2 linked regions of the Drosophila melanogaster genome follow. The protein of the gene in region 1 interacts with the protein of each later gene in a pairwise test. Each region holds a gene or a part of one and is shown in the gene's direction. Other genes may lie near its edges.

Region 1 (16,491 bases):
AGCTACGTAGTTACTAATTGATTTGGCCACTGATAAATCGCTGCCGACTCTCAACGCCGATGACAGCTACATGTGTCCGTTCCTCCGCAGCACTAATAAAAAACTTGATCGATTATGACGCTCTTTAGCGAGAAAATCAAATGTTTATAGATGATGGAATGTGCTTATTTAGAAATGAAAAAGTATTAATTATACCGTAGAAAAGGACATTCATAAGGTAATACACGAAGATTGGATGTTGGTTGCAAATTAAATTGAACAATACATATCTGTTATTAAAGTAATATTATTTCTTTTAATATTTACCTTTTATATTATCCATGCTGAAAGGGATTTTTCTCAGTGCACTTGATGGTAAGTGAATTGCAGCAGGAGCAACAGAAGCAACAGACGCCCAAACGATTGTAAATCATTTCCATTTACGTGTCTGGCCTAATTGCAGGCATCCGACGGAGACCTTTGAGCGATCCATTTGGATACGTCACCACTAATGTTTCATTTGCATGGTGACAAAGTGAATTAAATGGGTTCGCCTTAAAGGCGGAACTTTGGCCGTACAATGGGAGAATGCAGCGAAGCCCCGCCCTGACCAAACGCCTTTTCCGTTCTCCTGGACGCCACATTTGTGTGGGAATCCCTCGGTGCTTCCATTGTGAAGATGATGTAGCTGGCGCTGTTGGCAGCTAATAATAATTTGTTTGCACTTTGCATATGCCATCTGGACAACAAAGGCCGGGGCAGCCAGGACATTCGCAAGACATGGGGAACACAATGTCCCGGGGTCAAGGCAAACGTGCTTCAGAACTCTTATGTCCGTGCAAGAAATCACTGCGTTGGAATAGTGGGTGTATTGGAGTACTTATTGGTTTCGAATTTCTAAGCAAGCCAAATTTCTCATAACACATGTGCATTTATTTTTCGTGTTTTATAAGTCAGGCCAAATTCCCTTGAAAAATCATTATAACAATTATTTTTCTACATATTAAGTGATGGTAATTTTGAAAGATTTCAATGTCGCACCTTAAGATGTCTTTATGTGCTTCTCAAGACTGTATATCGATAGGCTTATATGTTAATTGCTTGTCATTTCAATAATTATCGCGTCACTTCAATAAGAAAATTGGTTAGTTGCGTTTCATTCTCGTCGAAGTTCACCAGTTCCAATTTAAATACAAAATCATTTGTCAGTCCGGTATTGTAGTGAATAATTTGCGATTGCACTTAATGTTTAACCAATAGCCTAAAGCATCAGATCAATATTGATACAATTCCCAGAGTTTTTTTCCGACTTTTTGCTGCTTCAGTCCGGTTGCACATTGCCATCCTAGTGGCCGCATCGTGGTGCTTGTAGCTCCCATGTTGCTGCTTCGAATTCCTTCAAAAATTCGCTCCTGGCAGTTCAGATGTGGCAATTGATGATAAAAGTGGTTTGGCGACGGCATCTAAACTTTTGCTGCTCTGCGCGTTGTGAACAATTTCTTTTTCCGCAGTAGTCTAGGTTATGTTCTATCAGGGCCTACAAATGTGCTCGTCGCACGTGCATTCATAGGTGGTCCCAGCTTTCAAGATGGCAAATAATTTGGCAAATCTTCCAAAATGTCCTGTTCATGAATCGAATGTTGTACATATCTGAGTGGTTTCATAATTAACAAGTTAATTACATTTTAGCTGTTTCATTACTTTTATACAAAATCAATTTCATAACTGAGTATTTAATTATTTTATAGATGAACACGTGTTCAGTTTTTGTTGGTAGTCAACCAAGCAGTTAATATACATATAAAAAATCCGCGTGTTTTCGCCCGGGTAAGTTTTCGTCGCGTTTTTCGTGTTTTTAGAAAGTTTCCAGAAATTTCGATCTTCGAGAGGAATGCGAGGTCTGTTGAAAGGGACTTAAGGTAAGTTTAACAAAAGGAAGCTGGTTTCCTTTTCCTAACATAGTATCAGGACAATTTCTATATGTACAAATGCAAAGAAACGGATTTCAACTATGGAATATTTACTACGTTAGAATTTTTATTACATTGAAAAATTTGTAATATCATACGTTTATACGTATGTATGTACGTTGATCATACTTATACGATAATATAAAAAAATTAAAATAAAGTCAACCATAGGAATAAATATCGATTATATATATAGCTAAAAAAAAATTCCATTCCTTATTGCATTTACAAAGTGCATATATTTTTGTTGTATTTTTTTCAAATGTATTGTTCAATTACTTTTGCCTGCGAGATAAATTTAAGTTGGCAACAATGGCCCTAGCGAGTTCACCTTCCCCATTCAGCAATTACAGCTAGTCTCGTGGTTTAGCGAGTACATGAACCTCGAGATAGCGCTGCCACTATGTTTAAAACCATCCACTTACGGTAATCGGCGTCAGCTGTTGCAAGCTAAATAAAACTAAGTACAAGCCGGCTGAAAAACAAATCGACTTTTCGCAGGATTGTCATGAATTAGGTACTGCGGAATGGATCTAATATTTTCTCAGGATGTGCACGATGCAGAAAAGTTCCTGGATTGTGCGGAGAAACTGGAGTACGATGAGTTCTCGGCGGTAAGGACACGCTTTGGACATATATCCTGAACTCCCTGTTTTAATGGCTTAAATCTTGATCTACAGAAAATGTTTGTATTCTGCAATGCGCACAGCGATGTGGATGTGTTTGAGCTAATGGGCAATGACCGGTTGTCGCAGTTAATCTACGGATGGGAGGTGTGCCATCTGCCCACCAGGGATTCCGAGTCCTTAAAGGACCCAGCGCTGCGTCACATGGTGCGGGTTTTAGCGCACCACTCGCTGCTGATTTGGTTTAGCCAGGAGTGGAAGACCTGCTCCGAAGGCCTTAAGCAACTATTGCTCTACAGCCTCACCAAAGCGGTGCCGTCGTTCTACCAGATTGGTGAACTGGCCAATTTCAACTGGTCGTACGTTCTGCAGTTCCAGACAAGGCCCTGGAGCCTGCCCTACCTGCAGCAGCTATTCCTTAACCTGAAGCTGAACAAACACCACGCCATCGAGCACCCAGTTCCTGCGGCATCAGGAGAAGGCAAGCAATTACTATTTTTCCCGAAGGATTTATCTAATCATAGTCAATTTCTTAGAAGTTGCTTTCCTGATACAGGAAGGGATATCTCTGGCCCTGCTGCGGCTAATACAGCTCTTTAATGCCGGCAACTTTGAGGCCGTGAAACAGCTGGCGCTTCGGATGCTGGCTGCTTGGGTGAAAGCACACGAAAATGATCAATTTGTGTCCTTTGAAGGGGATAAAAACTCAATTACACTAATCGGTCATCTATACCTCTTGACTGTTTTTGTAAGAGATGAAAATCGAGGCTTTGTAATAGATAATTTGGTAAGGAAAACATACATGATACAACATATCAAACACAATGTCATCATAAAACCACTCCTTAGATGTACAACATACGGTTCTATACCCAGATCATGCAGGAAGCTTCGATGTTACATGACATTAACTTTACGCCAGCTCGGCTTATTGCCCACGTTTGCGTGCGTCTTCAACTCGGAAAAAATGGGTTCTTTGAGCAAATTGGGTTTAGGAAATTCAAATTCAGTCTGGTCACTTCATTCGCCGTCATGCTGGAGGTCTACGCCAGCTATGTGCTTGGGAATCTCCTGATGGAGCTCCAGGCGCTCAACGAACACGATTTTCTGGAGCACCTGCCACAGTTCAAAGAGCTAATGTATCGCTATGTAGAGGAGCGAGAGAGCAGCGAGCGCTTCCTTCTAGAGGAACTCAAGAAGAAGGAAAACCAGCGAAACAGCCACTTTCAACCACATGTAGTAGAGCTAAATCTCAACTACCAGCAGCAGATATGCAAGGGAAACCGAGCCAGCAACATAGGCGACTACAAGAACTGTGATGACGACGAACAGATTCAGCCTGAGGTGGACGAAGAACAAGATAGACAAATAGATCCGGTGTTTCAAAATGTACCAAACAATGAGGAAGTTTTGAGCTTTGTGTACAAACTGCTGGCAGAGCGGGTAAGTGATGAGAACTATGAAAAGGAATTCCTGTACTAAACACAGTGCTTTCATGTAGAATTTTTCAGGATGGACATTTGCTAAGATTGCCCTGCTGCTGAAGATCATTGGACAACAGTTGAATGCAATTGAAATATGGAAATATCATCCCGGATTAACAGTTGATTTTATGCTTAATTTGGAGCAAAAGATGTCGGAAAACTATGCTGACCTAGCCAAGGTATTCTCCGAACATGGGTTTATGGAGGCAGAATTCTGGCTTACGGCTTTCTACCTCCACCCCACATCATCAAATTATAACGAAGTGAGGCGCTGTTCGCGTATTAAGAAAAAACGGCAGGAGGACGACTTGCTACCTGCTACGACACCACAGAACGTCAAGTACGAACTGCTGAGCTCCACCATCGATGTGGACGAGATTGTAAAAATAACGAACCATTACGATCCAGTGGCCGACTACGATCCGATACACAAATCGCTGCAGGCGTTGCGGCTTCCCCGCAGCATGATCCAAGACCTTCTGACCGTGGTCTTCCAACCACGGAATAAACGATACTCATGGGCTCTCGATTGGCACACGCTACACGAGCGTTGCCATGCCCTTCTCAAAAGCCCGGACCTCAAGAGAAAATTTGTGTCTCTTAACATGGCCGAAGCTGGCGACGATTTGAAGTACCTCCAGATCGACTATGCCAAATACAGGGATCGCCCTCAGTTGGACTATGGCACCATAGAAGAGGGCTACGAAAATGCGGTTAATCTCCCAGAGGCTGAGGAAGAAGCTGAACAAACGTCAGCAGTGGATGATGAAGCAGAGAAAGCCAAGGAGCAGAAAAAGCGGCGACCCGCAAAACGCAAATTTTGGGACGAAGGTTAGCAACAAAATCGTTTTCTTTTGAGCCACTTCCTTTCATAATAACTAATAATTCAGTCATACTAATAATTTCAATTTAAAATCCCACAGTAGTATTTTCGGAAGACGAGGAGGAGGCTGCCTCAAGCGATTCGGAGCCCTACTACACAGGAAATGGCCGCCGGACTCGGGTTAGGGCGGCAGCCATGGTAGCCAATGCCATGTTGTCTGACATGGATCGAAGTGTGCGCGGTGGGCGACGATCGAGCTCTCCAGAGACATCACATCACCAATTTCATACGCAGCCCGTCGTCGAGGAGCAGCCAAAAATCGCAGTCCAGCCTCCAAAACAACTGTGTCTACAAGAAACATCTGCGCGTGTCGAAAAGCGTACGATTAGCGAACTGATGGAGTCACGACCCAAATTTACCAACGAAACCGTCGGTTTTAAGCCGATCGCCGACATATGGAGTTTCAAGAAGGAAGAGCTGCAGAATGTGGTAGAAGACAGCAGCAGCATGATAGAGTGCAGCTCGATATTAAACAAATTCAAAATCTTGAAGGCCCTCAAAATGGCCAAAGCTGCAAAAGCCGCCGTGCAGCCATGTTCCCAGCTTGTTCAAAATATCGTTCGCACGGGATCGGAAACTGAAAGCGTAAACTCAGAAACTTCCACGATGGCTACCCACGACTTCAACGAGGAGGAGGTCAGCGAAGGTTCTACCGGTGTAAGTAAAGAGCTAACACCTTCGCCGACCACAAAGTCTGATTTAACCATGGACCCAGAAGTGTTGCAGCCCACTGGTGAGACCAAGACGCATTTGATCCATGGGAGCCTAGAAACTACAAAAGTGCCACAGAAGACTCCGGAGTTTCTGTTTTTGACCAAGGAGCCCGTGAGAACTGGACAACAGACCCAGGAGCCACTGGGAGATGCCTTAAAAACTAGTGACCTAAAACAGGTCATCCCAAATGGACTGTTCAAAGTAGAGGGACTGGAAGCGAGACAGGCGGCCGAAAAGCCAAAACAAACTGGACAACCGCAACGGGATCTACCGAATACAAGAAAACAAAAAGATAAGCTTATCCACATGCAGCGCTTAGGGAATGCTCAGCTGCCTAATGAAATGTCAACGCCATCAGAAACCGGGACAGAAACCGACACCGCGGAGGAGACCCTTCTGTGGGATGGCAGTGATGAGAACCCTAAGAACAAGTGCTTACAATTTGACTCAGTGAACAACGAATCCAATTCCAGATCTGCAAACGATATTAAGGAAATGGAGACAAATCGTCAAATCAACGAATGCCTGACGCGTTCTTCCCAGGTGTGCTTAACCAGATTGACACCACGAGACATAGAAAAACTCAGGGGAGTAAGAGTTCGTGTTAAGCGAACTAATATGGCAAATTTCTATAACGACCAGACACGTCGCAGCCAAAGAAGGCTCACAGCGAGTCTTAACGGTCAGAGCCGCTCCCACACCGAGGACAGCAATGGATCTTCAAACAGCTACAACTACCGCCAATATGATAGGCGCCGCTTCAAGAAGTTTGTGCACATCACATCGGACTCGCCAGCACCTTCGGAATCGTCCACGCCATCGCCGCGCATGATAGCCAAGCCGGTCTTCAAGCACATTACATCCGATTCCTCGACAGATCTCGAGGAAGTGACTCGGTCTGTTTCTGCGATTAGAAGACGTGGACGTGACCGTGGACGCAGTGGGCCCAAGTGTATAACAGAACCAAATGTGCGACGATCGCCTTCCTTTCAGCCGGATGTGATCGAGTTGTCCTCGGACTCTCTTTCGTCCAACTCACCAATTCCAGCCGCAAACCCCCCCATGAATAACTTTACACATGCAATGGATATGGATCCGCTTTACGAGGAGGCCATCATTCCATTCTAACACGCTGTTGACAAGTCGAGCCTGCTACCGAGCCAGAGGCGATGTTCTACGTGCCCGAAACGAATGCTGGCGAAGGGATGTTCGTTGGTTGCGCAGCAGAGGAAGGGAGCAAGGAAGATGAAGTGTATAGCTGGGAAAATCGAATTCGTCTCGGTTGTTAGAATGCAATTAGCCTGGGGCACACTTGGTATTTGCTTTGGCTACCAAAACGCCAGGATTTTGATGAAATTATTTACGTGTACATCTGTTTGACCAAGTTTCCGGCTCCGGCATTGTATTTCGGTTTTTATTTGGACTGTAACGCCGCCCGAGGGCCTTTAAAAAAGGACTCTCATCGAGTCCAGGACAACACTCAATGGAAAAAGCAAACGCATCCGCACTTCAATTAACTGCCTAATTGATGTGCATTGTGGCTCTAAAAAACCAAATTAGCTACACGCGGCGGAGAAGCTTTGTAACATGGATGACGACGACGGCGACACGTGGCTGCTGGTGTGAATTTAAGTGGCATATATGGGATAGATTTTCTTCTCATGTAAGAAACATTGTTAGTAGTACTTAGCTCTTATAAAGATATTGATACAAACTACCATTAATATTCTGTTTAAAACTTCAATATAAATATATTTATATATATTTATATATATAAATATATTTATATATATATAAATATATTTTATAAGTTACGAAAACACTCATTGTACTGATCATACAAGAAAACTGATTAAAAAATAAATAAATAAGTATACCATTAAGTATTTGTTTATTTATATAAAACTATCTTGGTTTTGAAATCTATAAGGAAATTAATCAAACATCAGCTCTACTTAGTACATTTTTCATAACATACTTAGCTACCTTATAAAGCACTATTAAAGAAAAAATTGATGGTGTCACAATTACTGAAGCAAGGTTTATATTTTTTCAACAAAAGCACTCAATTCATTTCCATTAGGAGGAACTGCCTGAAATGTGGCATATTACTAAATTAGCCCCCTCGACACTCAAGTTCTCACTCGTGCTGGTAATTTGCGGCAATTGCCGCATATCATAACAAATCCGCACGTGGCACCCGTCGCCCACTTGAAATTGCAACTCCGATCCTCCTTTAACAGGATTGCCACAGATAGGAATCCCACATCGGCACACTTTGCCACTTGAGCAGCCGTTAAGACCGCGGCACGTGGCAACGCCTGGGTTTTCTACCAGGAGGATGGAGTCCTGTGGGAGTGAGAGCTTTCCGTTGAATACACATGTTGCTTTTGGTAAGTGGAGGCGGCATCCTGGCCACGTGCCACTAACCCGTTTAGCGACAGGCGTAAGCCCTAAACGATTATTGCGGTTTAGTTGCGAAAGGCGAAAGAGTTGATGGTAATTGAATCTTTTGAATTGCAATCGCATTATTTCGATGTGGCGATAAAACAAAATAACAATTTATTTAGTCCACGAAGCACACATACTCTATATATGTAGGAAAGGGTAAGAAATCTTTTAGTACGGAAATGGATTAAATCTCGTCCGAAAATTATACCTACACCGAAAATATAACAAAGTCGTAATGATCCGAAGATATCATATTAAACAAAAGTATTCCCTATTTCAAATAATTTTTGGATTTATCCTTAAACTAAGTGATTTTTACAAAATATATAATAATATAATATTTCTTCTTTTAATTTAACTATAATATAAAGCATATCTTAAATTGACCAACAATACTACTCATTCATTAATATAAATATAATTAAGTTTAAGCTGTGCAGTAAGCACATTGTATTTAAATAACCCTAGAGGAAGGGTATGACTATAGAGACGAGCTTTGATGATGCCGTTGGCGACACCGCTGATCCTCGGACGCAGACATCCTTCCGATTGGCCTAGAGAGCACCGCTCGCAGCGAAGCGTGAAAAATGCTCGTATTTTGACTGGTAGCGGCGGCCCGCAGAACGAATCTCCATCTCCAGGAAGTTCACCCCGCTGCAGGCAGTTCTAGCTAGACGACGTTGGTGTGTGAGTTGGCAAAAGCCACCCCCGGGCGGCAATCACGGCGCATATCTGTTGGGATTTGTGTCGGGGTTCTGTGCTCTCTACTTTGCGCTATGGCGCCGCCACGACCGACGACAATGCGCCGAGGGTTGATGCCTGTTAGTCCGGACCCAAATCAGCGGGCTTAATGGCTGGCCGGGCACATAAAACCGGTGCGCACTCCTCGCCAGCTTTTAGTTGGTGCGGGCACGCGAGACGCGAAGAAACAACTCTCTCAAAGCGGAAATCGTAAATCGGAAATGTGCTAAAGGATATACACACCGTGATACAGATACGAGATCATGGCCGCCTGCTACAATGCCTATAGCGCTGGATCACAGTCCTTCGAGTTCGACGAGGACGACGACGACGCCTCCTTCGACAGTGGCTACGAGAAGAGTTTCGAGACGGAGGCCCAGTTGAGCTCACGACGCCGCTTGGACTTTGGCACTCCGCCGACTCCGGCGATCCCGCAACCGTACTCCGGCGGCACCTGGGACGCCGTACCGCTCAGCTCACCGCCGGCGGGCTTCGTGGGATTGCTCGATACGAGCAGCAATCACAGCACTCGGAGCGGCAGGACACTGGTCGAACATCTGAACAGTCGGGCCACGAATGGCGTCTTCGATCCGCCATTGACCAGTACGCCGGTGAAGTCGCCAGAGGATCCCAATGCGCCGCGACCGAAACGCAAATATGCCGTCGGCAAGAACAGAGTAACTCGCTCGCGCAGTCCAACCCAAGTGGTGAAGATCAAGCGTTTCCGCCGCATGAAGGCCAATGACCGGGAGCGGAATCGGATGCATAACTTGAATGATGCCCTGGAGAAACTACGCGTCACTCTGCCCTCGCTTCCCGAGGAGACGAAGCTGACGAAGATCGAGATTCTGCGATTTGCGCACAACTACATCTTTGCCCTGGAGCAGGTGCTGGAAAGCGGAGGTTCAATCAACCTGGATCTGGAGAAGCTGCAGAACTTCACGCTGAGTGGTGAGAGGATTACCAAGGAGCTCTTCGATGCTCTTTTCGTGAATCCACAGCCGTATCCCTTGTTCGGACGAATGTTCCCCTATGGACAGGGAATGGCGCCTCTTGCACAGCACCAGACTGCTCCAGCATCGCACGCGGAGCAGCCGCCGGCGATGGGTGGCTTTCAGCACGGCATGGACTATCCGCAGCAGCCACCAGGATTCGACTTTACAGGCAGCATGCGGTTTTACCACCAACAGCAACAGCAGCCGCATCAGCCTCACCATCTGCAGCCTAATCCCCAGCAGGAGTCCAGCCCGCAGCAGTTCTCGCAGGAGAAATACGATCTGTTCAGGGGATCCTTCGATGCAGCTGCCAATCTTCATTCTACGAACTTGGATTCTGGGATTCACCAGCAGAGCAGCTTCTACTCGCAAACACCGCCATGGAAGGACTATCCGGAGGATCAGGCACACGTGCATCCCGTTCCACATCAACACAGCTACAAAAACTTCGCCCCGCAGGTGTAGCACAGTTTTGTGGGCCAAACTACGATCTTAGGGTTTTCAGCGTGATATACTAAAAGATTGCCGGAAATTGCAGGAAACTGATCAAGGGGAATTCCTCTAAGCGATTTGCCCTTGACTTACTTTAAAAACATAACTAAAGTAACTTATGGGTCCTATCTCGGGATTTCCCTTCCTTACTTTTCTCAACTTTCCTGCAATCCGTTGATATTGGTAATAAGCGAGGCACCTAATTGACTGCTAAGATTATCATCAAGTTTGAAAATGAAATATCTTTAAAAATTGTATATTTCACACTTGCGCTAATCTTTGAACTCAATTAGTTTCATGTTATAGAGGGATCCTCAATAGATTAACCAATTTAAAGTCAAACATCCAAAGTTAAGCTTCACGAACTCATTATTAATTCATATGAATTCCCATTATATTTGTATTCATTGGCTTCCTTCTTGCGGATCTCTGGTGAATATTTGAATTAAAAGTGCTTAGGGTAATCAATTTTCCAAAAAGCACTCTTCTTCTCAACATATTCGCATTCTTCTTGACTATATAGTACAAATCGGTTGTCCATTTAGTGTAAGCGATACGTACCTTGCCATTCTAGATTTAAGACCTATCTATAAGGATTCTTAAAATGAACCAGGTATTAGCCATAATTAACTGTACAATCGATTAAGTGTATGTAGGTTATGCCAGATTCTATATCAGTTATTGCAATGCAAGGAAAGCGAGCTAGTCAGGGCCAGAACTTTAAGGTGATAAGATTGAATTTCGATGTAAAACCATAAAGATTTATTTTTGCAAATAAAGTTGACGATCAAAACGAGCCAGAAAATGGTTTTGCGAGTGGGAAGAATGGACGAACTCCTGGACAAAGTCAAAAATAGTAGCCAAAGCAAACAACCCTGGAATCAGTGTACCGCTGTGTGCGGATTTCAGGTCCCAAACAAAGGACTTAAATTCAAATAAATATTGTATATTGCAGGGCACATAAAACGAATGGCTTTGTGTGTGTGCACTGCAGCTTGTTCTTATCGTAGGGGGCACTTTTCGCCCTTACAATTCGACATGGGGTGAGTTCAAGTAGAAACCGAACTCGAACTCCCGGCTCGGCCTTCATAGCTCGAACAATGGAAGATTGCCGTCACCTGCCACACAATTACAAAACGAATGTACCAACAGCAGCAGTCAGGACCAAACAGGGAATCCTGAAACATGAGCTGTGAGCCAGTGGACCTGCATGAATGCCACTCAAATTATTTAGTTGAATGAACCGAACCGGCAAGAGTCGAGGGAAATGCTTTACTGCTTTACTGCCTAACTGGGTAACAACTGACTGACTGACGTTTTCCGTTACGAGAAAAGGGTAAAAAGGTGGTAAAGATGCTGGAAAGCCGGTGAGGAATTCGCAATCTCAACTGAAGATTACAATAAGACAGTCTTATCCGTTAATAGAGCTGTCATACTGCAAAGCCTTACATTCAAAGGTTTTAAAGTTTTAAAAAAAGGCGTAGGTTTGCCTAATGCAACGTAAATTGAATATTGGGAAAGCAGGATATCTTTATCAGCAACTTGTATGATTTAATTTCAAATATCAACTACTAACCACCACTTTTAACAAAAAGATTTAAAATTACATATTATTCGTATGCATACTCCATTAGAATTTATATTCATCATTCAAATATCTTAGAAATAATTTTAGGTCTAGCCATCCTGAGCATTCAACTATGTTTAAGTTAACTAGATATATTTGCTGTCGGTAAAAGATTCGCTCATGGTTAGTTATTGGGGTTATAAGCGGGAATTCGTCAGTTTTTCCACAACTAAGCCGGCGTTTGTCATTTGAGCAGCTTTGTTGGAGGTGTCGGGATTTATCTTTGCAATAATCATTATTATAGACCGGCATGGGTCCTGGGTTCTTTGGTCCTGTTGTGCTGCAAAGGCGCAAATACGCAGCGGGTGAGCCAGCTAAGCTGCATTCAATTTCTGGGACCCACTCGCCTCTCCTCGAGGGTTGAGGATGAGGATGAAACCTGGCCCGGATGGGACTCGCATCATTAGCGGACGGGGTGGCTGCGTTTCGATGGCTATCGGCGGATCAATGACGACATCTATGCCCTGACTCCCTTGCCCGAATGCTAATGCACTGCGAGGCTGGAAAAACAATTTGGCGATGGCCATAAGGCGATAAGGCAACCAAAATGGAAACAAATTGCCATGGACATGCTAAAAGGCGCAAACACAATGGATTGGCATCTTCGGCTGCGGCAAGTGCAGGTCCTTGGAGAGCGATTCATATGCGGTCCGATGAGATTGCACAAAGGACTTCGGCTGGGTCGACTAATGGCGGAGGGTTCGACTTGCAGATACCTAACCAAATCAAATTTCTGTGTAAATATACAGGGATTAGTCCACACGGAGAAAACACAAGGGGCCATTTCATACTCTTCCCTATCAAACCGAACACGGAAATAAGGCTGCTTTCTTTGAAGTTTATTTTATCAATTTATAGTATAGATTTATTATTATTTTCCATCAACTTGTATTTTAGATTAACTCAAGCATGAAGAAAAGTAGGTTTAACTGAGGACTCTTCTTTTTTTGTAAAAGATGGATAAATTATCAAGCCATTTGTTTAAAAATTTATTTTATTTGAGTACATGAATTAAGGTAATGTGAAATTTTTATGTGCATTGTCGTTCCTTTTGGTGTTCTAAAACCTTATTTTTGGTTACTCTCAAAGACTTGATGAGAGTCAGAGTTCAACCCTTGGAATGGAAAGCATGAAATATTAAGATCATATATCACACCGTTCCTGACGACACAGCTCCAATTTGTACTTGCCCTTTTGCGATTCCCATTTCGCAAATCGAATTTTATTTGCCGAATTGATTGTTTTACGCCTTTTTAGCAAGACGTTGGCACACATTTTTTTAACCCTTTGCCGGTGCACGTGGTTATTGCAGCCCCGGATCCATTGTTTATTACCCCTTTTTGGTCCTGATCAAACATTGATGGCAGAGATTCGCTCTGGTGCAATAGCTACACGTTCGCTTTTTAGCGGCAAGTTGCTCGACCTTTTTGCCCATTCATTGCCCTGCTCGAATTGGTTTATCTGTGAAATCTTTGACGTCCTCTGGTTGTTGTTTTTTGTGAGCCTGAACCTTCCGGGGTGTGCGACCTCGTCGTATACGTTACTGTTCCGATTCGAAAAAAAAAAATATCCATGTGTGCCCTACCTTTGTCGCTTTCGAGTTGTGTGCTCATCTAACCGAAAAACATTGGATAAACAAACAGCCGGCTCGAGTATTTTGTTACACTTAGTGCTCGTACCGAACAGGACCTTTTCATTTCTCTATTTTTCAGTATCCGTGGAAGGAAGCCAATCTGTCGCATTTGTGTGCAATCTCTCCCTCGACTGATACTGTAAAATGTTATGCAAGCGCTGATTTTTAATCCGATCAGAGCGGTTTTAGTCAAATTTAAGCAGATTTATGTCACATTGTTGAGCCAGAAAGTGGTACGCAGCGAAGGGAAAACAAAACGAAAATGTTAACACATGTAAATCAAGAATCAGATAACTATATAGTGCATGTTCCTCTATTAGGCAAATCGAATTGAGATCATGTTCCTGCCCACTAACGATAGGACCATAAAATTCGATTAAGGTTGCGGAAAATTATTTGAATGAAGGACAAAACAGAAGGTCCTGTGGGTTATTTCAGGGTACTTTATAAATATTGAATATTCTAGCGGTTTTTGACATACATGATCACAGAATTCAAATTTGATTTTTGCTATAGATTAAACCTGTTTAAATGGTATTACATTATGAAATGGTTACAACCCAACCATTTTGAGCAAGTAATGAAAGTCATTAAAAATGAACAAATTTTTTTTTTAAATAGCTAGACTTAATTCGAGCGTAATAATTCCTTCGTTGATCTTAAATTACAACTGAGGTTCCTCTGTAAAAGATAAATGGTCTTACACATGACTGATTATTAAGAGAACTTTTCAAAATCAGTTTATCAAAAAGCCAAGCAGTTTTCCAACCCCATATAAGAACAATTTTTCAATTCCAGTCACATTCGCATTCTGGGACTGTGCCAAGAAAAAAAAGGAATTTCAAATATATTCCTTTTCCAAATGAATAAACTGTTAGACAAACAATACATTAAACTTTACAACTTCACACCCGCCGCCAGTGTACGCGAAACATTAGCATTTGAGGAAGCACCCTTTTACTAGGCTGAAAATGGAAAAATCCTGGCAGCAAGGAGTGGTTCATGGTGGGTCATGGACATGGTATGGTAGCTGTACCACAAACGATGAGTTGATTGTTATGCAAATGAGCTTAGCCAGAAACCAGCAACCGGCGACCAGGACGAAATGTGAGAGCCCAACCCCAGATTTCGACTCGGATCCGGGTGCAGTTCATCAAGTGGTCATAAATTTATAGGTAGTTTGCAGACGCGCGAAGCTGCCTAATTACTATGCAGCGCCATGTGCATAATGAAGCTGACATTTCTAATTTATGGTTGATATTTGTTAATTTTTTTATATTCGTTGTGCATAAATTGAAATCGGAAGGTTGGCACTAAAATGTCGTCAAAACAACGGTTTCATGCCCAGTTATTGTTAAATGTAAACAACGGACACGGCACGAGCGATTTAATGGGGGTTACGGCGGAGAAATCCTTTCCTGATCCTAAGCTGACGCATCCTGGTAGTTCCACTTCCGGCTTAGAGCAACTATTCGCGCGAAAATCCCGCGCTAATTCCGCCATTGTGTGGGCTTCCGCACAAAAAGAGGAAAATTCGGGGAAATATGCGAAAAATCCTCGCAAAAAAAAAAAATTGGCGAAAATTACCCCGAAACGTAAATGGAAAGCAGAACTAGTAGTTAACTGCAATTACACAACCCCTAAGTCCTTTTTTATGGCCCTGCCACCTCGAAAAGCGACCGTTATGATTACTTGCCACACTTTCCTGCCCCGCTTTTCACTTTTTGGTATGCACGCAAGGGCCTCTCACTATTTGTCGCTCAATCGGGAGAAGGAGGAGGTCCTGCAGCAAAGGAAATGGTAATGGCCGGGCTCAGTCATTAATTGTTAGCATTGTTTGCCGCCTCGTCAGCCGGACATCTGGCTGTCTGACACTAGCTGTCAGAGAATTGAATCTGGGGTAAAAAGTCAGTTTCTAGACACCTGCATACACACGATGGATAGTGTGTGTAATGCAAATAAATCGTTACGAAATCGCATTGTGAGTCCGATAAAATCTATAGCAATATTTCTATGTCGTTTTTAAAGACAATATTCTGAGAAGATCAATAAGTTGTTTGATCATGAATTGTGGTATTTATAATTACAGAGTTGATGAAGTATAAATGATTTTATTTGGCTAGAATGAAACCTAAAACATTGAACGTGTGCTATTCACTGGGTAAAATTAAGATAGACTATCCTACGTGTCTCCTATGCTCCACTAGATTATATCTGTAAGTTAAGCCCTTGGCGCCCCATAAATACAATCTGTGCTATCTATACTATATAGTCCTATATGTATCAGTGGTATTAATTCCAGATTACCATAGCTTCATGCCTTGATGATTGGCGCCGCGAATGACTTACAAGCGGACCGCTTTGGCACTCGAATTTGTAGTGTGATTTATGAGGATGACACTGGCATCATCAATCACTGTTCAAGTGGAAGGTGATTTAGCAAAACATACAAAAAAAAAAAAACCGAGACTGCAGGGAAATGACAATCCAGGTTAGTTAGGCTTTATGTAAATTTTACTAGTAAGGGAAACAAGTTTAATTACACTCCATCTCTGGGGAGGAGGACGAGCAACCCCCAAGTGCAGTTGAGTTGACCCGGACAACACTTGATTCGCTGTCTTGGGTTGTTGATGTTGTTTCGCTTTAAAAAGTTATAAAAATAAGTCGACGGAGAGTGGCAGCAGCAACCCTCGGAGTTCATTCTGCACCCTTTGATTTTGGCCAGGATCGGGAATCGGGGATCGGGGCAGGACCAGCATCATCCCCTGTTTTCCCGCCCGTTCTCTCGTTCGTTGCCAGGGGCTAATGAGCGCCGCACATTAGTTTTAACAACATTTATTATTTATGGGTTTTTCCCTCCTCCTGTCCCGCTCACCCTCAATGCATCCGCATGCCG
Region 2 (16,535 bases), on another chromosome or scaffold:
ATATGTAATTTATATTCATCGAATCCAAAAAGAAAACCATAATAGGTCAATGGTGTACTGTACTGACTTCTTCAATATGCAGTGTCATTGACGTATAATTAGATTTGGCTATAGCATAAGACACATTATCCCTTCCCCTATGCCAAAGTGGTCATAAAACCCACAAAGTAACCATTGATTTACTGGAGAGCGTAATTACGAGGAGTACTCTACGCGTTCTGCGACACTTACTGCTCCCAAGCAGCCAATTCGAAATACATGCATCAACATATTATTTGTGCTGGCTGCTAATTCTCTTTTTGCGAATAAGAATAAGAATTCATTATATGTACACCAAATCCATTCACCCCCGGTTTTCCATGAGGCTAACGGAATTGATGGAATTGAGACACGTAAGTGTTTGCATGTAGAAATATTTGCTTACCATTAATCTATTAAAGCTATTTTTGCTCCCAAGTAATAAAACATATTTCAAAAGTATGGGCCTAGTTGTTTTTGACGGTTGAGTGACCGTGCCAATTAAGAAAATCAAACTTGAATCTGTTTTTTCCGAGATTTTTACGGGGTAGACATTTTTGGTTCCTAGTTAAATTGTTTATATTGAGCATTGCTGTTGAATTAGCTGAAATAGACAGTAAGTTCTTTTAATAAATGTGTACATACATATACAATACTATTCTCTTTATTACTCTACAACTACATTCAAAATTGTATAGTTTTATGTTTTTAACCGCAAAATATATGGTGTTTATTAATGGCTAACAGAATAGATATTGGATGTTTCTTTTCAATTGTTGTTACAGAATTGTTTTGTACGTTTTGATCTCAAATTATACAGAAAAATTATTTATTGGAAGCGTTATTCCAATGTCTAATTACTTTAATAAAATATCGAAAATCCCCGCTGTTTATATGCGATATACAAACTGTGTAATATTTTTGAAGAAAATACCATTTTCATTAATTTAATTCCCTAAACCGACTCTACCTAGATCGTATGCGCGTCTACGAAAATGCTATGACATTAATTTTTAGAATTGTTAAGTCAGTGGTGCGCATCAATTGTATTATTTGTTACAAACTCATTTGCGTACTATTAAATTCATCAACTATTACTCTATGTCGAGTAGGAGCCACTTATCAAATTATTGTTAAATTAAATAAACGCTCTACTGTCATGGGCTGCAGAAATCATTTTAAATGTCAGGCTCACTTGGAAAACCATATAATGCAAAGTTTCGTATTTTTCAAGAATATAAACCATTTTTAACAGACATTCTTTTCGAATGAGGTACCACTTTAATGGAATAAAGCTCAAGAGGAACATGGCACCAATGACACAAAGTCCGACTAAGTTACCCTTTTTTCACAGAAATTGAATTAAGTATGTTGTCGTTCTGCCAATAGTGGCGAAAGCGTTGAACGGATATCTATACTGACAGTTCTGGTCAAGGGGGGAGGAATGGTGAAGAGATTTAAATACCTAATCTGCGGTCGGTCAACTCCGACCAAATTTTATGGGGGACATTGTTTCCATTTTAATTGTTTTAAATGAGCTTTGAATTTAAAAATTGTGGATGGGGTGGTTCCTTATATAGGCGTTTAACATCCGGAATTAGGGAAATAATAACAAATAACGCCCGCATTTGTTTTCGCATCCATTTGGGATAATGAAGCGCAACCCATTGAATTTTAATTTGGCACTTAACAAATTCAATGGGAAATCTTAAAGTTCATCTCGCTCAATTACTGCCTTTTAGCTCGTATGGACTACGGATTTATTTTCATTTTCAATTAATTTCCTTGTGAACATAAGTGTATATTGTTGTCGCCTTCGCATACTCTCCTGGTGCACTTCGTTACTACGTGGACTGCCACATGAATGCAAACATGAAAAGCTTTCTTGCAGTAATTGTACACGTTACTCGTAGAGTAAAATGGTAAACTAGACTCGTTGAAAAGTATGTATCAATAGCCTAGTCGATACAGATACAGATACAGCATACAGATTTTGGATAGACGCAGAGTAAGTTTGTTGATTCATGTTGCCCATTTTAACGCCCACAAACTGGGAAATTTTCAGATATTTCTTCGTTTTATTGTTTGTCTTGCCAATCTATCATCTACCGGTATACCAAAATCACTTTGGCCACCTCTCTTCTAATGCCTTCAAACCGCCGAAAACTGTCACGCCCACACTTTTGAAAATCGTTTTTCTCATTCATATCTATTGATTTCGGAAAAAAATTATAAAATTTCTCGTTTGCATTTCTACTACCCGAGTAACGGGTATCTGATAGTCGGGGGACTCTACTACAGCATTCCCTTTGTTTTATACTCGCTACGTGGGGTAAAAGTTTTTATAGCCAATTTCGATTGATATGACAAAAAACCGAAGGTATCTGATAGTTGAGGAAATCGAATATTTTGTTCTCCCTTATTCTATCTCGGTAATTTTAAAATCAGATTCAGACGAAGTTTATTTCCATTTATATTATTACATTAATAAAAAAAGTATAATCTATTTTGTTGAAATGTTGAATTTTGTCAAAAGAGATGCGCAAATGAACTTTTAGGGGGTGGTTGCCAATAAAAAGGATATTATACACTTATACCTGACTTAAAAAAAAATATATCTGTATTTCAACGCGATTTTGGTCTCTCTCCAAGCGATATAACTTTTTGAAACGTGTTCTTTCTTAACAGGTGTTGGGACGGCCTGATCGAACAATATATTTTATAAATCCTATAGAACAACTAATATAACTATATTAATATAAATTAATTATTATATTACAACTATATATAAATATCGAAATTATAGGTATGTACATTATTACGAATGGATTTAGCCGATTTTGGTTTGAAGAAATATTTGTGGTAAACTCGAATAATTTGCAAGATGTATGGATCTATGGGTGACCGAAATATGAATGGAATATTTACTGCTGTCTGAAAAGTCTAAATGTATAATTTCAACCACCTACTTATTGTCGACGCCGGTTATGGAGGTTAGCAAATAACTGGATATCACTTATTTTGTTTTTGCAAGGCCACTGTAATTCAACGAACACAAGGTTTAAATAATTAATGTAATCCTTATTTGCTTCCATTCGCTACATGGTAAACAATAAATTCAGATATAAGGAAAACTGTCTTCTGATTGTCTTCACGACTGGAGTCTGGGATCTGTTTTGATTTACATTTGTATAGCTTACCTACCTATGGAAATTGCATACTGGTGGTTGCCCGAAAGCTGCTAGAGGTACCGCCAGCACGATAAAAAAGTTAAGATATGCAAAACTATTTAAAATTCATTCAGAAAGTGTCAAACAGAGTTACCGTCCATTCATCTAACGTCATTTAAGGTGTGTGCACCATAGAAGATACGAAAGAGATTTATAAATAATGAATGGGCGCATACATATATACGTATTTGAGGTTTTAAAGTTTCGATTGATCAAACGGACAATTTTTGTAACATTTTTCGATAACTTGATAATGCGCTGCATAGATATTTTTTTATTGCGTGATAGCATAAAAATATTTATAATGCTATAATAATTTATTATTTTTAACGAAGAAATCAGATGCTTGCATGCATTATTAGTTATTGATTATTAAAATTTCAGAAATTCCAGAGTTGTCAAAAATACGCATATCTTTTGAAATTGGCAAGACAAATAGTAAAATGAAACAAGAGAGAATGATATAGCATAATTTCATAATGATTCTAGCATATCAATGGATATTAAATAAGAAGATATAAAATGAGAACGTTCGACGTTCTTACGGACGCACAGACGGACATGGCCAGTTCGACTCGGCAGACCCTGATGTACATAATTTATAGAGTCGGAAATACCTCTTCCAAGTAGGAATCTAGCAACCTTTTTAGTCTACGAGTTCCCGGTATAATATCTTCGTCGCATAGGAACTGATTAGTTTGGTTTTAAAAGTTTTGTGATCATTCAACCCATATTTGCACCCCATGTCGTTGTGATTTTTCGATCCCTTCAAGTCGACACAATCTTTGTGACTAGGCGAACGTAGTACACAATTCCATATTCTAATCTTTATTACGTCAGCCATTCTACCTTTTAATTTATTCATGCGTTTGGACAAAAGATAAAGTCCATGAATGCGAGTAAGAATGTGAATCTTTCAAACAAAAAACCAAACAGATTTTAACTTATTTTAAAAACAGTCAATTTTACCGATTTGAAGTATTATAGCATACTAAAACTTAACCGAAATCAGACATATGCGCATAAAATGATGTGATCGAAAAGGTCAGATAATCCAGCTGGAATAGGCCCCTCGTCAATGAAAAAGGGGACAATCGTGGAATCACATCAATAAATTGTCAACTGGCCAACTTTAAAGTGTCGGCCCACATGTCGAGAACATAACAAAGGAAAAGAGCTCAATTTTGAAAACAGAAAATAAGAAAAAGTGTTGCAGACGGTTTTTTTTTACCGCGAAAGACTACTTAATTCTACAACCTGTTGCTATCTTCAAAAGATACGAAAGCAAAATATAAGCAAAATTATTATATATTATATAGAGTAAATGGGTATACTATGTTCGTTGAAAAAAGCGGAACATATTGATGGGTGGAATGTCTCTGTAGATCTCGGGAACTATATCGGCTAAAAAGTTGAGATCTGGCCAACTGGCTATACCGACGACGAGACAAAGACTGAGGAGGGTCACCCAGCAGACACTTTTACAAGGGGGAGGCAAAGAACTCGAGTGCTTCAAAACTAGCCAAAACTATTAGCTAATCTAAATTATTTTTCCAAATTGTAATTCATCGTTGCTGTTATTGTTATGTTATGTTCGTTGCCATTCAAGCCATTTAATTGGTTGCTTAACGTAAAAAAAATTTTGTAAAGTAAATAAAAATATTATTCCTGAAATTATTTATGGTTAAAACACTTATACATTACATCAAAAAAGATATTCGCAAAATTATTTATTGTTAAGATACTTGCGTTTATGTGTGTTCCCTATTTATTTTTAAGATTAATCCTATGACAAGTTTATGATACAGTGGTCCGAAAAAATGAAGGCTACCCGACAAGCGATGATCGGTGGGACTATTACCTTGTTACACGGTTGTTGGGTTTTGGGTTTAATACAGAAAATACAAATGCAATAACATGCATAGGCATACCGATGAATAATTTAAATATTGATCTGTTCGACTTTAAGTACAAGAACCCGTGATTCCAAACCCAGTGACCACGGAAACAAAAGTTTATCTGAGAGTCAAAACGGAGACCTCGTCAAAAACTTGTTTGCTCACCTGTATTTACTTAAAATATCCAAACACAAAAACCTTTGCATACTGCATATCTCAGTTTGTATGTTGACAAGGGAATGTGTACCCAACACGGTAATTGTACATAAGCATGTGATAAACACGAAACATTTGGTCTCTTCTTAAATCTAAACAATGCATTCAGAATATCGGTGTACTCATCGATTCATATGTAGTTTACCAGCTCTTCCCATTTCTTTAAGCTTCTTCCGAATCAGTAGACTATCCTTTGGGAAATAGGTCCCTGAACGTAATAATTGTTAAAAGCCAGGGCCCTGACCCATCGGAATTATTTGTTAATGTAATAATAATAAATAAAAGTGCATACTATACAAAAATATGTAACAGGTAGACGGAAACGTATCCGACCCTATATGTTATGTAGATGCTTATATACAACATCCGAGTCGATCTACTACGTGAACTGCCATTTACATGGATGAAAGATATAAACTAAATACATTGACACCTGAGTGCTTCGTCTGGTAGCTAAGGTTTGTTTATAGACACAAGAAATATGAATTGGACGAGTGACAAAAAACTGGATTTTCTATAACTTCCAATATACAAAGAAAACAAGAGAGAATGCTACTGAATGTCCAGTTCCTCGACTATCAGATACCCTTTACTCAGCTTGTTATAGATATTGGGAAATAAAATAAGAAAAAATTAAAAAGAATTTTAAAAGTGTGGGTGTAATCGCTCTTGGGCGGTTTGTAGGCGTGGCAGCATTGGTCAATAAACTTGCGCTGCGTTTATGTCTCTGTCTTCCACCCTTTTACTTTACGAGCAACGGGTATAATGAATTAAAAAATTGTGGGCGCTGTGTCTATGTCTCTAGAATATGTATGCTTATATGTATGCTTAGTTCCCACGTGCATATCTAGTATACCCTTCTTTTACTCTACTGGTAACGGTTATAAGAACTACAAGAAAATAACTTATGTAATGTTTTAACGCCTACTCTAATTTCCCCAAAACGGAAAAAAACAGCCACGCCCACACTTCTACAAAATGTTTTGATATTTATTCATATATTTGTTGGTCTAATACATTTCTATCGATTTGCCAAAAAACTTTTTGCTTCTATCAAAAGGAAAAAAATGTCAAAATTGCCACGCCCATACTTTCTTAAAAATTTTTTCAGTTTTTTATTTTTTGTCTTGCCACTTTCTGTCGGTATACCAAAAACACACTTTGGTCATGCCCCTCCTTACACTAACAGAACGACCAAAACAGTCACGCCCACACTATTGAACAGTTTTTAATTTTTTTTTCATTTTATTCCCCAATATCTATCGATATCCCAGAAAAATTAATTTCGCTTTCGCATTCACACTAGCTGAGTAACGGGTTCCTGATAGTCGGGGAATTCGGCTATAGCATTCTATCTTTTTTCATATATGTATATGGGTATATATGGATATTCTAATACCTTGCCGTGCATTAGCGAGTATGTAAAAGCGAGAGTAAACGCATGACGTTTAAACGAAAGAGAGTGAGTGTCAGAAAGGGTTTTATCTATTCTTCTTTTATATTATTCCTTTCCCCTCTGACATGCGTGTTATATTCATTTCTTGGTAAAAGTGTAAACGCAGACGCAACTTTTGCAACAGACAACTGCGTAAATATGTATTTTTTGCTGTACGTACATACGTATATGATTAAAAATTCAAATTCAAAATACTGCGTGTGCGACGGTGAGTACACTTTTACATAGGCATATGTACATATATGCTGTATATTCATAAAATATTTTATTTTTGAAATTACCATTTGAACTGCATCGCTTGCATATTTATACCCGTTGCTCGTAGAGTAAAAGGGTATACTAGATTCGTTAAAAAGTATGTAACAGGTAGAAGGATGACATTCCGACCATATAAGGTATATATATTCTTTATCAGGATCAATAGACGAGTCGATCTGGCCCTGTCCGTCCGTCTGCCTGTCCATATTAACGTCTAGATCTTAGGGATTATAAAAGCAATAAGGTTGAGATTAAATATACAGTTTCTAGAGACATAGACGCAGTGCGAGCTTGTTGCCACGGTCACTCTAACGTCCACAAACCGCCCAAAACTGCCACGCCCACAGTTTTGAAAAATATATTTTTATTTTTTGATTTCTCCCCATAACGGTCGCGACCATGCCTTTGAACAATTTAAAATTTTTCTTTTTTTATTTCCCAATGCCAAAAACTGTTGAAATTTTCCGTTCGCTTTTCCCCTAGCTGACTGATTTGTAGTTGATAGGATCCACCGACACCGGGACATTTGCACCACTCTATAATAAATATTAACCCGTGTATTAACCCATATGACAAATTTAATATCATCGCATATGTAATGCATATGCAAAATATATTTTTTATATTTTTTATATATTATATTACAAACACACTTTCAACAAAATATTTTAATTAATAAATAAAAGATTAAATGATGTAGATGTAGAAACTTGACCCTATAAGCATATATAAGCGCAGGATCACTTAAAAGGTCCGATTGTCCGTATTAACACCGATATCTCGGAAACTGTAAAAGATAAAAGAGAAAGAAGAATGCAGCGCATGCATGCATGTACGCATCGATCAAAAGTTATAATAGGGTACCAGATTCGATGAAAAAAAACCCTAAAAGTATATATATATTCTTGACCAGGATAACTAGATTCGATCCGTATGAATCCGTCTGTCCGTATGAACGCCTCGATTATTAAACATTCAGATTCCAGATACATTCCAGAGACGTATCATAAATACGCCCACTCTAATGCCCAAAACTGCCATGCACAAACTTTTCGATTTATTTTGTCTTTCTGATCGATTCTATCGATAGTCCTAAAAATGTTGAACTTTCTCGTTTGCACTCTTAAGCTTAAAAAATTCTTCATAAAAAAAATTTTCAATTATTTTTTAATGATTCGAGTGGTTTGTTCAACGAAGAAACATTTTAACATGCATTTTTTGACTATTCCGGTGGAATAGTACGCATGTACGCATGATATTTTACAAATATTGTACAATATTTACGCAAGACATGTCGCGGAAGTATAAACATTCTCTTTTGGTCCAGAAAAATGTTAAAAAGAACTCAAGGTTTCATAATTCATAACGGACGTGCCTGATCGGCTCTGCTAGTGATCCTAAATACATATGTAAGTAAGCATATTCAAGATCATCTCGGGTCGCATACATTCTACTATAGCGAACATAAAAAATATTACACACATAATATTGGGAAAAGCTTAATCGGTTTGCACATTCAAAAAATTTTATTTAATGACAATGTGATACGAATAATATTATACATATATTTTTGTATTTATAGATATTTTTGATATCTCCGAATACAAATATTGAGTAGTTATTGGGAAAACAAAGGATCTACTTTTAAATGTTGAGTCCACGATGCTTGCCTGTAGGTATTTCGGTTCAAAAGAGACATTGTGATAGTTTTGTACCAGTTTAATTACTATAATATTTCTGATCATTCTGCAGACAATGGGATGTGGAACTTGCCGTGTTGGATCTTTTAACATCCGTCGGCAGTAATACAAAAATAATGAAAGATGATTGCCCAAGCTGCACCCACACAAAACAAAGGCACACACACATGCATAACAACAGGCAGAAATTAAATAAGGAAAAGAGAGGCTCGCTGTGAAAGCATAAAGCACATTGGTACACCGTTTTATCACATCATCTCCCGTCTCGCTCTAACGTAATTACCACTCTGCGTGGCAATAATTACCCCATTACGGAAATCTCCCAAAGTCTCTCAGTGTCTCTCTTGAATGTTGATTTGTACGCATGACTCGATTCTGTTCGGCTCGGTCGGACTTTCGGAGAATAAAGAAGAGGAGAGCAGAGCTCGAGAGCCCCGGAGAGCATTAACCAGCAAGTAAACAAGTAAGCCTGCCTCTCAGCTCAGTCGAAAAAAAACGTTGAATGAGTCAGATGCGGGTCGGATGGTGAGTTTTAGAGCTCTCAAAGATGCGGTTTCGCTGTAGATCTTCATTATGATATATTTGCCGTTGGCGTGACTGTGAGACTAAATGTGACTGTGACTATTCGCTGGTTAAATGCGCTAAAACATAAAAAGTGACATAGTAAAAAACAACCAAAGAGTGAAACTAACTGCAATCTGAAATGTGTTACCTCTGTAATCAATCATTCACTGCTAGCCCAATCCCAATTCTGCGAATAGTGATATCTATGTAAAGTTCGATATGGGTGCGCGTTGTTATACGGCGTCTACTTGAGTTTTATATTTACTTTTTACTTTTGCGTTGTGTCGAACAGAGTATCACAAAAAAAACCTATAATGGCAAGAATGAAGAACACCGTGAACCTTTCGACCAGTTTCAAAAAAATGCATTGCGAGATCAGCCCAACTTCCTGCCCATACCTGCAAATGGATACATTCGATTAGAGTAAATAACAACCATGCCGGAACAATTCTGCGGCACTTCTTCGTAAAATATTCAGTTCGCTTCTGCTACATGTTTAAATCAGTCGGAAATATGGGTGCATGCTAACGGTGCAGTTCCGAGCAGAAAACAATACACTCACCCTTATCCTTATGTGTGAGGTGCATTGGTATTGGAGTTCTGGTCCCTAGCAACAAAAACTTCAATCCGTAGACAAAAGCAGAGTTTCATTCCACTTCCAATGAGGACAATCCTGCACTATTTTGTTTGATGTATCGAAGCTATCGAAAACGGATTCCGTCCGGGAATAGTTTTTTATTTTTAATTGCATTATGTGCCAAACGATCCCAGCCGAGTAAAGCCGAGCTGCCTTGAGCTGAGAGCAACGAGGGTGTGCGAACGGAAGTCGCAGGAAGGAAAGAAGCTGAAAAGAGCACACCACAGGCACAGGAAAGGGTGCTGTGCCGCGCTAGTCGGTTGTTGGATGTTCTCTATGAATTGCCTTCAGCGATTTAATGAGCACGTGGTCCACGAGAGAAGTATATGCAAAAACGCTGTGTGTCTATTTCTGTCTCTGTCTTGGTCTTGATAGCTCTCCCCTCTTCGTCGCGGTGTCTGCACTGGGGTGGGCGGATGGCAAGTGATGGGAGGGAAAGGAAGCAGAACTTCCCACTTGTGATTGTGCTTGTGACTGTGCGTGTGTGAAAATGTGTGTATAAAAAAGAGACAACTGTCTCGCTTGCGATATAAGCAGCCAACTAGGAGTAAAAGTGTTTATATTAAAATGCAAAATCCCAAGAAGTTGGCAAATTAAATCAAGGGGCGTAACGCGCGCGAACACACTCTCCTTGCACTCATCCAATTCGCTCGATTTGCTCTCTTGAAATTTGCACACATTGCAGATATAATTACAAGTGTAAGAAAAAAAGACATTTAACATAGTTTTCAGCACCCGTTCGTTCTATATAAAAAAAAGATTTTGTGTGAAAGTTAATGTCTTTTCAAGCCATTGTGAATTTCTTTTATTTGGTCTTTAGTACAATCATTCTTTCAAAAAACTGGAGCCATATATGTATGTACAGTGATAAAGTGGTAAAGTCCTTGGCAAAACTACTTTTGTGTTGCCAACTGACTGCTGTGGGTCGATCACCTTTCGACTGTCACCTGCCACTGGTCACGGCAATTTCACCCGCATACACCTGTATACATATGTACATAAACTGGCACATCAGGGTTTTTACTTAATTGGGTTCTTTTTAAGCCTTGCTGTTGCCTGCCGGCTTCTCCCTAACATCCTGTCTATTGACCACCTGTCTCAAGTTGATGGCTTCACATAAATGCAAAATCAAAACCGCAAACCCTATTGAGAGAGACCGTATTTGAGGGTCAGTAAAATATGTAACCAATAATTTATATATAAAATATACCAATGTCTGAAGAACTTTGCACAATTCGAATGTATAACACTAACTTGTAATAGCTAAATATTTCAGGTGAAAATAATAATAAAATTGTTCACAAAATTACTCTTTAGGTGCCGCAGGCTAATTATCTCGCCCAAATCCACGAGCGCTCGATTCAAAAGTTCCTATAATATTTAAGCCTAAAGTTAAACATAACATAGTACAAACTATCGCCGCTAACTTAAAGTAATTCACGATTGAACTAGCTAATAACCCAACTTACTCCAAGTCTAAACGCTCGCAAACATACATAAGTGCAAAAACAAAAACAGCAAGGAGAAATCGAACGCCCTTATTTGAAGGATCTTCATTTCAATCGTCGAATGGCTTAAGGATTCAACTTTTCATAAGGACCTCAAGTGAGTACAATATTAGATTTGGTAAGGGTATGTTGTCTAGTTGTATGCGCAAAATTGGTCCTTTGTATACAAATAATCATATCATAGCCTCCAGAAGATATGGATAAAAAATATGTCTCGATAGTATTTTATTTTCAAGTACAAACCAGTTACGAATCTTATTTTATATATGAATAAAACAAGAACGTATTCATTATTCGTGTATATCGACTATATATACCCTCATAGCCGTCTATAAGACATCATTACCTCAGTTATACAATCAGCAATACCTCATAACACAATGAATTTTCGGTTACACCTTTCATGTTGAGTCCCAAATACTATAGATCAACAATGACGGTTAATGAGAAAATATATATATTGTTTCCATTTTATTTCTATGACATTTTTTTTATTAATGAGTCCGATTCGTTTCGACATATTTACGTATATACTAAATACAATAGAAAGAATATTTTCGGGAAAAGTTAATGCTTTAATAGCTTATAGCCTTAAATCTGAGAGAGTATTTGGCGTAGGAACAAGCAGGCAAACTGACTATATAAGCTCGGCTGTTTTTGCTGATCAAGAATATACCTTCACTACATTGCATACTTCTGAGAAAAATTGCATATAGTGTAGGCAATAAGAACGCCTATATGTAAGTTAAATATCATTAAATAAGTTCGTATTTAACAGCAAAGGCTGCAAATTAAGAACGAACAAGTATTTGCAAACATTATTGTCTGCGGAATTAGTGTTTCGTATAAGCGCACCAAATAATAGCTATTGGTTCATCATGTCAAGTCACCCATTGGAACATTTTAATTACTTAAAGACTTCTAATTAGCCAATGACGATGAAGCTCTCACAGAGAGGTGGAAGGGGATTACTAGTCCCTTGTGCTTTGAGTCTTGAGAGTTGGTTCAACGAACGAATTGAACTTTACCGAAATAAGCTGAGCCGAACAGAAAAATAACAATGCCGAGCAGAGAACTAAAATCATCCAGTAATTAAGCACATAACAGACAAAAGCAATGATGACGAGAGCAAAGCCCTCATACTGAGAGCTTAGGGCTTCGCTCTTTAGCTGTTAAATCTCTGATGTTGCCAGTGCAGAAACAGTGGAAACATGGCAGAAACAGCGGAAACGGAATCAAAAGAAGAGTAAAGCAACTGAATGCGACAACCGCCTAAGCGCGACTTGATTGGTCGGTTGTCGCTACTTAAAGTCCGCGGCTCCCGCTCCTCTCCCTTCTGTTTTGTTTCGCTACTTACTCCTCCTCGTATTTTCTCTTCTCTTGCCGCACGTCCGCACCTGCCGCCTCAAGCCTCTTCCTCTGTGGGTTTGGTATTTGCTTTGCTATTTGTGTTCTCCGTCATTTGTGGGTGGCTAGATGGGTGGTTTATAGAACAGCGTTAATTGATGCCGTTAGAATCACACCCCATTGGCTTTGTCACTGGCTTGGTACGGGATACGTGATTCGTTGCAGCAGAATCCCTCAACCACCACGCTAAACCACTCTGTCCATAGAAAGAAAGGAGAAGCCTTCTCTTTAGCGCAATTTTAATTACCAGAACAACCAATTAAGCACTAACGCTTTCACACTCCAACCGTCTCTCTCGCACGCTCTTGATATTCTCTTGTTAGTTATCTACATGCTTCTTGTCCGTTACCGAGTGCAAGCATATAAGCTTTGATATATATACATATATAAATATATATACATATATGTGTGAGTATGTGTGTAATACGTGGGCGCTCGCATGGGAACCAATTAAATGAAAGTTTCTCTAGTAAATAGGTAAATAAAACAGCGTTGAGTGCGCTCGTTTCGGATAAGTTCATACTTATTTATGCCTTCTACTAATTGCTGCTTATTATTGCCGAATCTGCGTCTCGCCCTAATGTACATACATACACTTACATTTCTTTATCTTGTGGGTATCTAAAATCCATCAACCCTCAACCGGGTCCTTAGATCCGCCTGTACCCCGGACGATTTCCTCGCGTGGCGAAGAATAGAGGCAAATTTCAAAGGAGAGACGCAAAAATCGATAATGACGAACACCGATATTAAAATAAAAAGTCTGTGGAATCACAATAAACTACAAACGAGAGTTCTTCCTTCTCAAAACGAGTATGGGTAGGAACATACAAGCGTGTATATATGTAGGTGTATGTATGAACATTCATGTAACATTTACAAGCCGTTCCCGTGCCTGAGTGTGAGAATGAGTATACCTTGCGGAGTTGTGAGGTGGGGATGAATAGGTCGAATATATGTCTACTCTTTACATACAAACGTAGATGTGTTGAATGGGTAAATACCCTGGTGATGGTTTGGGACATTTTTGACGGCATATGCCCGAGCACAGCAACGTGGGTGCGGGGGAGAGGTGTATTTTGTTTCTTTTCTGTTTCCTTTTAATATAAATACTAATTATTGAACACGCTCAAACTTTGAGAAGTAGTACAAACGAAAGCCAGAGTCAAAGAATGTCATCATAAGTCGTTCGAGGTAAGGGTAGTTTGTCTCAAATAAACAATAATTCGAAATCGCAGGAATAATTGTAATAAAAAATTTCTTAGAGCAGCGAAATATGAAAGAAGAGCAGAATAGAGACGGGAGAAAAAGAAAGGAGACGAGAAAGAGGCCGAAATGTATGTATGTCCCAGTGCTCCCTGAAATACCACGTCCGGGTAATTGTGTTCTTCATATACCCATCTCCGTCTTGTACTCTATTTACCCATCAGCGCCTCATTCTGCCGTCTCTGTCCTTCTGGACCCACACTCACCCGCATCTCGAAGTACTTTGCTTTCCAACGTTGCCATTAGGTACGACGACGACAACAACCACGACGACGACGAAGGCCCTTTTCGGAGAGGGCCGAAAATATGCAGAAAGGAGACACCATCATCATATTCTGGGGCTGACGAGACGCCGAGATACAGTCAGTAGCGAAGCCAAGCGCAAGCAGCGCATTATGTATAAATTATTTATTTACATATAAATTATATTTGTACTCGCGCGCCGCTCGCTGATAGGAGAGGGAGATGGTCTGGATTGTGGGCGTAGCGATTCTTCTCCTGGGACCAAGCCGAACGACGAGTCGCCACGGTGTCTCCGTCTCCTCCAGGCACCCCAGTCTCTGCCTCCACATCTGTCTCAACTTTTACCAGGGCCCGCTCCGTGAGTGCGCATACAATTACAATTACCGCGCAGAGACATATGTACACGCACACTGGCAGCCGAAAGGGGTACGCGAAATGAGGCCCAAGCAACAACAAGGATGAAAATAGAAATTAGCAACAAAGCCGACAACGAACCCGAACCAGGGGCCGAAACTAAAGCCGAGCATTGGAAACCTGTTTTATTTTCCATGCCGTTCTGTTGCTGTTGTTGCGGTGGCGCAAGCTTCTCAAATGGCAAAAGTGATTTTGGTCGGTGCTATGAGCGGAGAAGGGAGGATTAAAGAGAGGGTGACCGAGAAAGAGAGGCAGATCCATCCGCACTCTCTCTATCCTCGGCTCTTTCTATTATGTTCGTCAATATTAATTAAATTAAGAGTTACTTCTCTCAGTCAGCTCTCACCCTCTCGCCCAACATCACCGACCGACCCCCCCTTACCAACAACACAACGACAGAAAATTTCGCTCCGCAGCTTTGTCTCGCATCTCTTTCTTTTGAGTGAACGCTGGCACACACCTATGTATATGCGGGCGAAAACCGTATGCACGCACACGAGTGCGAGCGAGGCAAAGTGCGGTGGCAATGATTTAGTTGTTCTCATTGTTTTTCGCTTGTTTGGTTAAATAAAATAGGATTGGTAGGAGTGGAGAGCTGAAGCTTAAGGTGGTTCTGCAACATTTTCTCTCATGGTTTTAGGGATTCCTATTCTCCGCTCTCAATTATTTCAGTTCTCTCGTTGGTAACCCTAAACCTAATCCCGCGCACAGTGCGCGTCAATGAATGTGGATGGGAGTGTGAAAGCTCGGTTAAAAACAAACAAGCGTACGAGCTGAATAGGCGTGGCGTAGGAAATGGACCGATGCAGACCCTGACTCTGGTTGCGACTCAGACTTAGAATTAGACTCACCCCCAGACGACCGACGACTGACGAAGACCTTGCGATACAAATCTGCATATCACATGTAATTGTCGACTATTAAATGTGCTCCAAGCGCATGTGTACTGATATGTACGTGGTACACATATGGATATACATACAGATGTGAGCCTGTTGGCTAAATCTTTGTACGTCGTCCTCAAATGCAAACATAATGCATGGGTCACACACACGCACATATCATCAATGTTCATGTGTTAGTATCCTCCCCCTCGCCTGACTCACGTAAAACTTTTTACTCACACGGAAAGTGCCATATAAATCGCGCTCGGACAGAGACGGAGAGCGTGTGCTAGTGTGTGGCGTGTGAGCTGAGCACTTCGCACACCACTGCGGCCTTCGACTACCGCATAGCATCTTCTGATTGGTCGTTTTAATGTGCGCTGAGTGCTCCCGCAACCCCCACAGCCCCACCCTCACGTCACATCTTTCTTCTTGCTCTCCCCTCGGTGACTGTATTAATTACGATTACACATACACGCAGCAGCAGCTCTTCGAGTATTTTAATTGGTCGAGCCATATATGGTGTTGGGATAAAATGGAAGAAATTGGTACACATAAGAATCATCGAGCTTATTTCAGAAATGCTCTTATCTTACAATTCCTTTAATGCGTTACAAAAATACTTTGTAACCAAATTAGTTACTTCGTATAACAAAAAAGATTTTTCTTATTTTCCTACCAAAATTATTAAGGACTAGTTCCAACAAATGAGTCAGTTTATATCAGTTCAAAGTTAAAAATTCGCTAGCAAATTATTAGGCAATTAAATTAATAAATGAATTGTATTTTTGATTTTGAAAATATTAATCATTAGTCAAAACTTAATTTATAACGAG

Evidence for each region.
Region 2: the proteins of tap (region 1) and zfh2 interact in a two-hybrid assay, tested with the Drosophila melanogaster proteins (one large-scale study listed by BioGRID).

The regions. Positions count from the first base shown.
Region 1 is NT_037436.4:17,350,682-17,367,172, forward strand, and holds tap (target of poxn), read left to right. Parts: upstream 1-9,000; 5' UTR 9,001-9,111; coding exon 9,112-10,308; 3' UTR 10,309-11,130; downstream 11,131-16,491. Other genes in the region: CG7692 (uncharacterized protein), read left to right, coding at 2,477-2,563, 2,630-3,056, 3,112-3,362, 3,425-4,018, 4,077-4,890, 4,983-6,784. UniProt on the Drosophila melanogaster protein: May play a role in the specification of the sugar-sensitive adult gustatory neuron and affect the response to sugar and salt. Regulated by POXN.
Region 2 is NC_004353.4:492,557-509,091, forward strand, and holds the start of zfh2 (Zn finger homeodomain 2), read left to right. Parts: upstream 1-9,253; 5' UTR 9,254-9,301; intron 9,302-11,294; 5' UTR 11,295-11,582; intron 11,583-16,535.